Linked DNA regions of Stegostoma tigrinum. The protein of the gene in region 1 interacts with the protein of each later gene in a pairwise test. Links are inferred from orthologs where the notes say so. Each region holds a gene or a part of one and is shown in the gene's direction. Other genes may lie near its edges.

Evidence for each region.
Region 2: the proteins of E3 ubiquitin-protein ligase TRIM63-like (region 1) and pdhb interact in a two-hybrid assay, tested with the Homo sapiens proteins (2 studies listed by BioGRID). The link is inferred for Stegostoma tigrinum from reciprocal best matches to the Homo sapiens genes TRIM63 and PDHB.
Region 3: the proteins of E3 ubiquitin-protein ligase TRIM63-like (region 1) and mybpc3 interact in a two-hybrid assay, tested with the Homo sapiens proteins (2 studies listed by BioGRID and IntAct). The link is inferred for Stegostoma tigrinum from reciprocal best matches to the Homo sapiens genes TRIM63 and MYBPC3.

Annotation. Positions count from the first base shown.
Region 1 is NC_081377.1:30,190,342-30,194,091, reverse strand, and holds the start of E3 ubiquitin-protein ligase TRIM63-like, read left to right. Parts: upstream 1-1,505; 5' UTR 1,506-1,655; coding exon 1,656-1,814; intron 1,815-2,677; coding exon 2,678-2,844; intron 2,845-3,750. UniProt on the Homo sapiens protein: E3 ubiquitin ligase. Mediates the ubiquitination and subsequent proteasomal degradation of CKM, GMEB1 and HIBADH.
Region 2 is NC_081364.1:52,377,618-52,381,367, forward strand, and holds the start of pdhb (pyruvate dehydrogenase E1 component subunit beta, mitochondrial), read left to right. Parts: upstream 1-1,470; 5' UTR 1,471-1,567; coding exon 1,568-1,603; intron 1,604-1,708; coding exon 1,709-1,768; intron 1,769-3,750. UniProt on the Homo sapiens protein: The pyruvate dehydrogenase complex catalyzes the overall conversion of pyruvate to acetyl-CoA and CO(2), and thereby links the glycolytic pathway to the tricarboxylic cycle.
Region 3 is NC_081370.1:12,000,197-12,003,946, forward strand, and holds the start of mybpc3 (myosin-binding protein C, cardiac-type), read left to right. Parts: upstream 1-1,397; 5' UTR 1,398-1,496; coding exon 1,497-1,521; intron 1,522-3,581; coding exon 3,582-3,750. UniProt on the Homo sapiens protein: Thick filament-associated protein located in the crossbridge region of vertebrate striated muscle a bands. In vitro it binds MHC, F-actin and native thin filaments, and modifies the activity of actin-activated myosin ATPase.

The DNA of each region.
Region 1 (3,750 bases):
TGGAGTGAACTGAATTGACTGAAGACTGGTATCTATAATGCTGGGGAACCACTGGAGGAGGCCAAAATGAATCATCCATTCATTACTTCTGGCTGAAGATTGCTGTGGATGCTTCAGCCTTATCTCTTGCAATGATGTGTCAGGCTTCTTCCTTCACTGAGAATGGGGATACTTGTAGAGTGTCCTCCTCCTGTGAGTTGTTTAATTGTTCACCACCATAAATGCTGGCCAGCCAGCAATGCCCATGTCCCATAAGTAAATAAATTTTAAAATGTGTGTTGCAGTCAGAATTGTAGGTTGTGATGGCATAGCGTCCGATATTCGTTCTATCACATGGCTGATCAGGAATATCTCCTTTCCTTAAACGCCATCACTGGCTCATGTTGGAAGGATTTTGTCAATTGATCTCAGCATATTTGGCCATTATGAATATACCTTTCTTGGCCATTAAAACCTGCAGTGGGATTGACACCCAGTCATTCTGGTCCAGTGGCTGAGATTGTGATGGTACCACGAGATGTCCTGGTGAGATTTGTAAACAAGGACAATCGAGTTACTTGTAATTGAGAGTTGGGGTTGTAGGGGGTTGTCTCCAGTGGTGTGGGTGGAAACCTGTTTGGACAGTTTCCGTGGTTATTAACATTGAGGAAAATCAGAATGTTATTCTAGTTATGCTCATGACTCACATGTCCAATTTTTAAGCCGTTAGATTGGCTTGAACACTTTTCAGGCAGCTGGGCAAATATGTGGAGGAAACTCCAGGACTTATATCTGCTGGTTTTTACAAACTTCATTCTTGGGGTGTCAATGTCGTTGGCTCTTAATAGATATTTTAAATTCAACAGCTGAAGAATCTTTGCAATTGATAAGTGGAAAGGATTTGTATTTTCTTTAATATCAGCCACATCTAAAATATTTCTGGACTCACCAAGCAAACCCAGCTAGGCCTATTCTTCATTTCACTCCTGGCTGCTGGATGCTTCATTCTACTCTTCCACCATCACATCCCCTGCTCTGAGAGTATCCCTATCCCCAAAAGACTGCACTTCTTCACAATCTCCTTTCCTGCTTTCAGAAGTATCCAGATAACCAAGCCCTACATTAACTTTCTAATGCCTTCCTCCCTCATTGTCAATGTTCACGATTGTCTACAAATCCTGTCAAAGCGCTTTCAAAATTCCCTTGATGCACAGTGAAAACAAAATTGTTTTTGTTGGGCATTTTGGACAGGATGTTTTCTACTCACCTTGATCGATTGGCAGTTATATAAAATGTTTAGCAACTTTATTTTTATTTATTCTTTCTGTGTAAGTTGTTTTTCTGAGTGTCACATGTGACTGCATCTCCGGGTCCTGCTTGTTCTCAGTTTCACGTTGCAAGTTTCTAATATGGGAAAAGTTATGTTGAGGACTAGGTTCCCCCACCCCCCACCTCAGCTATCATGTGACACTGGAAATCTTTATAAAAAGGACGAGCTGTCATGCACAGACAGAAAAGGAACAAGGAGTAATCTTATCACGACGCCTGAGCTCCACTGAATCTCTTCTGAAGAGGATACTAACACGGAATTTGTCTGAAAGCAACGAGAGTGACAGGGAGAAGAAAAAGGCAACGCAACTCAGCAGGTTTTTAAGTGGTGTTTGCTATATTTGGAGATGGAGTTCCAGCCGAATATTATCCGAGAATCCAGCACGATGGAGACACTGGAGAAGCAACTCATCTGCCCGATTTGTCTTGAAATGTTTGAAAAGCCGGTTGTGATCCTGCCATGCCAACACAATCTGTGCAGAAAATGTGCCAATGATGTATTCCAGGTTAGTGCTTTTAAGCTGTGTCCATTCAAAACTCGGCAAACTGGGGTTTCTTATCAGTGTTCCAAACTTTCAAAGACAGTAACATTTGGAAATGGGTAACTCCTTTCCAACTTTCTGTGGAGAGCTCTGACCACTTGCTGGGTTGCAGTAAGGCACAGATATTGACTTCAATCCTCTGTCCTAATATCTCAGTTGGTGGCTTGGTGTCAAGTATTGTTTAATATGACCCCTGTGAAATGCCCTGGGATGTTTGCACCATGCCACGAGTGCTATACAAATAGAACTTGGAGTTTTGCTGTCCCTCCTGTGTCCCCATACCTCACTTGCACCTGCACTAACTCCAATGGGAGCCATGGTTTAATTTCTCCCCATTTCCTCAGACCAAGGCCATTGAAGCCAATTGCAGCAACTCAACTGAAGTCTGAGATCAGCTAGTTGAACATAAACTTAAAAGTGAACCTGGACCGTGCACAGTCTGCACTATTGGCAGTTAAGAAAGACAGATTAGAAAGCTAGGATGTAAGGCAGAATTTGAATTCATTAACACTGCTCACAATGTCAGGTTGTCCCAAAGCATCTTATGATCAATGAAGTATATTTTTCAAGTAAAGTTACTGTTATAATATAGGAATGATCTTCAAGACTTAGGGAGACCTCTTTAATATAAAATTTAACAAACCTTTAGGTGAGTAAGTATTTCTGAAAATCTTTTAAAGCAGAAACTTTAAAAAGTGTGATATCTTTTGACATTATTTTTAAAAATGATGAGTAGGTATAATGTTGCATCCAGTTTTGGTACAGTGCTAACCTGTGAGCTTGTGCTAAACATTTTCTAGATACATATATGTATGTGCTTTTTTTAGGCTGCTAATCCATATTGGCAGGGTCGAGGTACCATGATTTCTGGAGGTAGGTTCAGGTGCCCATCCTGTCGACATGAAGTTATCCTGGACCGTCATGGGGTATATGGACTGCAGAGGAACCTACTGGTGGAGAACATCATTGATATCTACAAGGAAGAGGGAATCAGGTTAGCTTGGGGAACCATTTCATCTTCTGCATCAAGCTTGTTGTTCGGGTCAGAGGTACAGGTGGGTGATGGGAAGAGAAGATGGAAATACGTTTGCCAGGCTGGGAAAGTGATTATTATGATACGTCTTATGCATTGCTTGCAATGATGCCTCCTGGAGGTATTTGCTGAGATATCATGTGAACACATCAAGAACCCAAATCTTGTATTTTTCAGTTGAAGTGGGAATAAGTTCAGGGACAGTTGGACTGAGTTACAAAGATGCTAGCTCAGTTTGTTATATATTGTGTGTACTTCTACAGTTCTGTTACAAGTTCATATGTTTCCTTCTTTAATGGAAACTGCCCACGTGAACAACTCACAGTGAAGATTATGAAGGCCTTTGATGGAGCAGATATAGAGATGTTTCCACCTGTAAGGGAATCCAGAACCAAGGGTGTTACAAAATTAAGACATAGCTAATCAAACTGATATAGAATTGAGGAGCAGTTTCTTAACTCAGTGAAACTTGCTTCCATATGAAGTGGTTGAAGGAGATTATTGTAGATGGTTTTAAAGGGAAGCTAGATAAATACATCATGGAGAAAAACAAATAAAAGGATCTGTTGACATGGCAAGAAAGTAGGTTGGAGAAGGCAGTTGGGAGAAGGCCCACAATGAGTGTAAATGCCAGCAAAGATCTTATGTTCTGAATTGAAAAATCCTATGTAATAACATCCTTCAATTTATGTTAATATTACAATGCCTTCACTGGTAGGAGGGTGTAATTACAGTGTAACTAGTTTTAATAAGCACCAATTTTTAATAAACATTGTAAATGTGACCAGAGGAAGATAAAAAGTTCAAAGTATGTGGAGCAACTGTAAGATTTTTGATGTGAAATAGATGCTGATTTCACAAACCAGA
Region 2 (3,750 bases), on another chromosome or scaffold:
TGATGGAGCTAGTGTCCAGGACGGAGCGGGAAACGGTCACATATGACAGGTGAATGGTGGTGGGTGGACCACCTAAAGAGGGGTGGGGGTTGTGGGGAGGGAGTGCAGGGGAGGATTGTGGAGACAGGGTTTGCAGGGGGGATTGTGGTGGGGGTGGGGTTTGCAATGGGGGGACTGTGCTGGGGCTGGGCTTTGCAGTGGGGGGGACTGTGCTGGGGCTGGCGTTTGCCGGAGGGGGGAATGTGCTGGGGCTGGGCTTTGCAGTGGGGGGGGACTGTGCTGGGGCTGGGCTTTGCCGGGGGATTGAGGCGGGGCTTGTGTTTGCGGGGGGGGGGGCGGGAGGGGAACTGTGCTGGGGCTGGGGTTTGCCGGGGGATTGAGGCGGGGCTTGTGTTTGCGGGGGGGGGGGCGGGAGGGGAACTGTGCTGGGGCTGGGGTTTGAGAGATAATGGGAACTGCAGATGCTGGAGATTCTAAGATAATAAAATGTGAGGCTGGATGAACACAGCTGGCCAAGCAGCATCTCAGGAGCACAAAAGCTGACGTTTCGGGCCTAGACCCTTCATCAGAGAGCTGGGGTTTGTCGCGGAGTGGGAGGCGGTGTGTATACGGGATTGTGGGGGCGGGATTTGGCGGGGGGAGGAGGGATTACAGGGGCGGAGTATGCGACGGCGGGCCATACACAAATCGCCGGGCGAACGTGTGGCAGCGTCCGTGCTCAAAAAGCAGAGTTAATACTTTCGCGTTCGGCTGCAGTTCGTCAGACCCGATCGTAGTTTGCAAAAGGTTAGTAGATATAGACTGAAAACGACAAACGCCGGGGTCAGTCAGCACCCGTGGAGCCATCAACGCCGTGCACCGACATGAATGTGCACACTCCACTCCACAATGCAGCAACACCGACTCACTCACCCTGTCTCAAAGCTGCGCCGGTCCCAAGTCTTCACTTCACCCTTTGCCTCTTCCGTCGCCTCAAGAAAAGACTTTCTTTCTTAAGGGTATCGAGGTATGCAAGCTGCAGCGCTGGCTCTCCATGGACGCTGTCTGAGTTGCCGCGACCTCCAGCGTTTGCAGTAATTTGCTATTTCGTTTAGTGTAGAAACCATTTGATTCCTTCCAGACTGGACATTACCCATTTCTTAGCTTGCTCACACCATCTCCCTCTGCCCTCCACCCCCACCAATCGGTCACCCCTACCATGCTGAATTCTGCTCTCTCTCCAGAGAATGCTGCCAGACGTGCTGAATTTTCGCGGCAATTTGTTGCTTTGCTACTGATTGGGCGGGGGAGGCGGGGCCTGGACGAAGAGGCGGCCGTGGGAGAGGGGCGGGGCCTACGGTGGATCGGTCTGTGGGTTTTGGGGGGGGCGGGGTGATAAACCAGCGAAAGTGAACGCCGCCGGGCGGGCGTGGTCACGTCGCGCCCCACATTGTGCGCGATTACGACAAAACGGTCCCTTCTAATATATATTACAATTGGCCAGCAGTCAGGGCCCCTCCCCCCCCACCTCCGTTATCGCGCGCAGCAGTTTACGTCAGTAAGAGACTCCTTGAAGGGTGCAGGGAAAATGGCGGCGCTGAGGAGCCTGCTCCGTGGAGGGAAGGTGCGAGCGTTCCCTGCAATGGTGGCGGCAATTCATCGGTTAATTGCAGCGGCTTCCGGATCTTTGTATCTCTGCAGTAACGCTGACTTGTGTTTGTTTGTACAGAGTACTTTTGGTGTGTTGTCGCGGAAGAGGTTTCATCGGTCGGCTGTCGCCGGCGCTCAGGTAAGAAGGGTCACCTTCGGTCACTGCCTGTGAACGAGAGGAGTTTGTCGTTTTTTTTACCGCGGCCGGTTATCTCTGCTGTTTGTTTAGTCAAGAGTCTGAGGAATTTTGCCTCCTTTATAAGAAGGAGGGTCACCGGACCTAAAACGTCAACTCTGCTTTATCTCCACAGATGCTGCCAGACCTACCGAGTTTATCCAACCTTTTTTTTGTTTCCGGCTTTAGTTTAATGTTCCTGTTTTTAACGGCAGTTTTTTTCTCCGGTATTGTGAAATTAACGGTTATGCTTTCGGAGGTCTTCTATTGAACGCCGCTACTGGAAACAAGCCCCCTTTTTTGGGTTGGATTAATGATTTCAGTGGACGTCGAATAGATGTTTTCCTCTGGATAGCCTAGAAAAAGAGGTCGTAAATGTACAGTGAGAGAAAAGGGGTCTCAAAACTGAATTGAGGGGAAACGACCTCCTGAGGGTTGTGAAACCTGTAGAGGTCCCTCTCTGGGAGTGCATCATTGGTGGAATCAATTATCAGATTCAAGAAAGAAACATATATTTCTGATGAGAGGTGGGTAAAGGCCTGTGGGGACTGTAGTCATTGCAACAACTTCATCTAAGTTGACCTCATAGAATATGATGTCCTTGATTGTGGCTGTTAATGTGGTCCAATCAGGGAGCCCCTGGCTGACAGATATAAACAAGAATGTCAGAGGTTCTGCTCACTAGACCTGGCTCTGAGGAAGCCAGACCAGTGTTGAGAACTATGCACGTGCGAATGACTGATAACTCAGTTTAAGGGATACCGGGGCTGCGGTGGAAGTGTTTCAGGGGTGACGAGAGTGGGATGTAGATATGGCTGTATTGTTCGGACAGTGCCCAGAGTGTCAACTAGGACAAAAATCACTGCTAGCAGCTCCCCCATGTTTGTGAGAATGGCTGGATAAACCCTGGTCTCTGTTAGAAGTCAACTACACCAGTCCTTTCATGATCTCAACAATGTTAGTCACAGTGGATGCCCAGTCAGTAGTTGGGTGTGCATAGCGTTCATTCATCAAACGTGGCAACAACAATTGAAAAGTTGCATCTTTGGCAGTACTGGGCTCCTGGAAGTGTTGGCAATGGACAGTGTGCCATCATTTACCAGCAGGGAATTTGAGTATTTAATAAAGCTGACTGGCATTAGCATTTAAACACAGCTCCATGCCACCCATCATGCAGTGGTCTGGTGGAAAGAGCAGTCCAAACCTTGAAGGCAGGTTTAAAGAAACAGCCTGTAGCCTCGCTCAATACCTAACTGTTGATTATCAGACCACCCTTGTGCAACTACAAGGATAGCTCCAGCAGCGTTGTTCATGGGGATAAGATTCTGCAGCAGATTAAATCTGATCTTCTCAGACCCGAGGTGGGAGGGGGTCGAAGTGTGAAACGGTATCAGGAACAGTAATGCCGGACATCTCTCTTCTACGTGAGAGAGACGGTTTACTTCAGGGGATGAAGTTTGGTGTTGATACCATGGAAAAGAGGAGTTCAAAAATGTGAAAGATATTAATGGAATGTTCTCTATAGATTATAGTGTAAGGGAGCAATAGTGTTTTCACATCACAGCAACCAAACTGTTAGGGTACATTTCTTGAGGATGATTGGCATTGATTACACACTAATAGAATCAGAATAAGACATAGAAAGTGATAAAGCACCATGTAGTTTGCATACTCAGACATTGGACTGTTGTGAGGAACAGATTATGGCAGGTGAATGGGTGACTGAAGACACAGCATTTATAGAAACGTAGGATAAGGTTATTTGCTTGGTTAAGAGGCAAGATCAGATCCACGACCTACAAAATTCGGGTAGGTGAGACGGTTCTGAACAAGAACGTGGACACCATGAAACCTGTAAACTTTCAAACAGGCAGGAGCAAAATTTAACTGATCTCTCAACAACTGGAAAGATTATGGAAACCCATAAGTTCGTTCTTTCCTCCCTC
Region 3 (3,750 bases), on another chromosome or scaffold:
GCGAAATAAGGAGGTTAAATGTTGAAAAGCTAAGGAAGCAAAGATAACTGTCTACTATCATGGATTTGATTTGGTGGAAATACAAAAGATTGATAAGGATGAAGTAAAGTATGTTTTCCCCTCTTGTTGGTTGCCCCACCATTTACTGCAGACTCACTGCACCTGCAGTGACCTTTAGGACCTTACCAGTGTGTTCAGTAGTGCTACTGCTGAGCCACTCTTGGCGATGGGCATTGAAGTCCCCCACCCAGAGTACATTACGCAAGCTTGCCATGCTCAGTGCGTCGTCCAAGTATTGCTCAACATGGAGAAGCACTGATTTGTCATCCAAGGGAAAACGGTACATGGTAATCAGCAGGAGGTTTCCTTACCCATGAATAACCTGATCCCATGAGACTTTATGGGGTCAGGAATCAATGTTGAGGATTTTCAGGGCAACTCCCTCCTGACTGTATATCACTCTGTCATCACCTCTGCTGAGCCTGACCTACCGGTGAGACAGGACATATCCAGGGATTGTGACGGTTGTGTCTCGGACATTGACTGTAGGGTATGATTCCAGGAGTATGACTATGTCAGGCTGTTGCTTGACTAGTCTGTGACTCAGTTCTCCCAATTTTCACTAGCACTAGCCCCCCGATATTAGTGAGGAGGATTTGCAGGGTCAACATGGCTGTTTGTGGTCCCGATGTCAAAACTATCCGGTTTCATTTCTTTGTTGAAACTTCATAGCGATTAATACAAATGAGTGGCTTGCTAAGTCATTTCAGAGAGCATTTGAGAGTCTACCACATTGCTGTGGGTGTGGAGTCATTCCTCCGTAAACTCCTACGGAAACTAGTTAACCAGATGAGCTTTTAATTCCAGACAACTATTCAATCCAGTTTCACCACCTGCTGTGAGGAGAGCATTAATCTGGGGCTCAGGATTATTAGTCCAGTAAATTGCCACCAACTCATTCTATTTTTATCTCTGCCTATCTCTGTGCCTCTCTCTGTCTCTGTAGGTCTGCCTCTGTGCCTTTGTTTGTACACAGAAGTAGCTCGCTCTCTGTGTCTGCCTGTTCCTCTACCTGCATCTTGTTCTTTATCTATGTAGCTTTTCAGGTACCTCTGCTGGCCTCTGGCTCTCTGCATGTTTGTACCTCTGCCTCTCACACTCTGCCTTTCCTTGTCTGTCTGTATTTTTGTCTATCACTCGGTCCAGGTGTAGCTCTGCCTATACTTCTGTCTGCCTCTCACTTTTGTTTATCCATGTAGCTCAGCCTGCACTTCTGCTTTGTCTCTCTGTGCCTGTCTGCCCGGGTGTCCTCCGCCTGTTTGTCAGCCCTGCTATGTATTAGCCTGAGTATTCCGCCAGTTGCTCATCTCTGGTTCGCTCTCAGCGCAGTGACAGGCTCTGACGTGCACGACCCTGAATTTAAATGTTCGGCACCCGATACTGAAGGTTGCTCTTGGCCAGCGGGAGCGGAGCGAAGTTTAACGAAGTGGAGCGGAATGTCAGAAGCCGGGAGAAAACCAGGTGAGAATCTGTGGGATGGAGGGTCAGTGTTCGGGGAGCGGACAGGGTGTTGGAGAAGGGCTTTCCATAATGAAGTCATGTGTTTTCAAACTGAGAGTTGAACTTGCGCTCGCAGGTTTGACCGGGAGTTCCAGAAGGAGGATTAGTGATGTGTTGCAGTACAGCCCAAAGGCTCGCTGTGTCATCACCCCGATGAACAACTCCGTTCAAATACCCCCTACCCTACCAGACAGCTCTCCTTTGACAAACCCTCTGAACTGCTTCCAACCTGGAGAGTCCCAGATCCAGAAAAACAGCCAGCCCTGAGGTACTATACCCCTGACAACATTTCAGCAATGGTGCTGAGGACTTATGCACCAGAACTTGCTGCTCCTTTAGCAAAGCTACAACACTAGCAGCTACCTGGCAACGTGACTGATGATTGCATCATGTTCAGCACCATTTGTGACTCCTCAGATACTGTTCAAATCCAACAAGATCTGGACAATAACTTGGCTTGGGTGGACAAGTGGCAAGTAAATTTGCGCCACACACTAGCAACATCACTGACCACAAACTCAACTGGGCTCTGTACGTAAACAGGTGATAATGGGAACTGCAGATGCTGGAGAATCCTTCTCTACGTAAACATAATGGCTTTAAGAACAGATCAGAATCTAGCAATACTGCGATGAGTAACTCGCTACCTGATTCCCAAAAGCCCATCCACCATTGACAAGGCACAATTCAGGAGTGTGATGGAATACTTCTCACTTGCCTAGATGGGTGCAGTTCCAATAATGCTGAAGTAGCTTAAACCCATCCAGGACAAAGCAGCTTGCTTGATTGGCACTACATCCACTCTCTTCACCACCAATGCTCAGTAGCAGCATCTACAAATCTGTACTGTCTGAATTCGCTAAGACAGCAAATTCCAAACCCATAACCTCTTCCATCTAGAAGGATAAAGGCAGCAGATTAATGGGAGCACTACGACTTGCTAGTTCCCTCCAAACCACTCCCCCTCCTGACTTGGAAACACAGGCAGTCCCTCTTTGTGAACTGTTTCTGTTCTTGTGTCCCATCACAAGTTGATTTTTACGTAAGTCATAAACTATATTAGGTCAATATAAGATAGCCATTCTTAAGTGCAGGAAATGTTCATATGCTGTATCTTTAAAATATATACCCATGTATGGGATTGTTTGTAAGTACAAACATTAGTAAGTTGGACTGACTCTTTATCATCATTCCTTTAGGGTCAAAATTCTGGAATTCCCTTCCTAACAGCATTGTAGATCTGCCTACAGCGCATGAACTGCAGTGGTTCAAGAAGGCAGCTCACCACCACCTTCTTGAGGGAAACTAGTGACAGGCAATAAAAATTGCTGACCCAGCCAGTGACGTCCAGCTCCTGTGAATGAAAATAATGTTAGCAGTCAGTTGAATGACAATGTTTTTAACATTATTAACTCTCCTCTCCATCATGCAAGGACTGAAGCTTGTCTCACGCCTTGAGTGGCTGCAGACTCTGTATCCCCCAGTTTGGGCTGCTCCCTTCCGAACAGTTAAAGCTTCTAGGGCTTTACGCTTGTGGTCAGTGAGACAAAGAGATCAGTCATTTAATGGTTAAACAGAATGATTCTTAACATGGAAAAATCCAATCCAACTCGTACTTAAAGTTTTTCTGGAGTATCTCCCATTCCAAACCTGGGATGTGTCCATTCAGAATCTGAAATACCTGCTACATTGCTGGTGGAGGAGAGTCCGAGGGATGTTGGAGGGGATGAGAGTGAGTTCATGGGTGGATATGGAAGACAATGAGTGGGAGCGGAGGAGAGAGGGGTGGGTAACGTAATTGAGTAGGGAGAGGAGAGTGCCAGGTAGGTTGACAGTGCAGACATGTGGTGGTGCCTATGTGTGTGGGGATCTGCATGTTGAAGAGTGTTCTGTATGAGTGGGTTAGAAACAGACAGATTGTTGGTAGTGAAGGTGTGAGGCTGAGCACTGTCATTGGAGTGAGCACCTTTCTGAAAACCTGTCCCTTTGTTGTGTCCCACCTCCCTCTTCCCTCTGCTCAGCTTCCTCCTTCACAAAGAAGCCACGGAGCGCAGTGTTCAACCTGGGCAGTGATGCCACATTCACGGCGGAGACAGAGAAAGGGGTGGCAAAGGTGAGATGGCAGCAGCATGGTGCAGACATGGCAGCGAGTGACCGATGGACCATCATTTCAGAGGGCACCAAGCACAC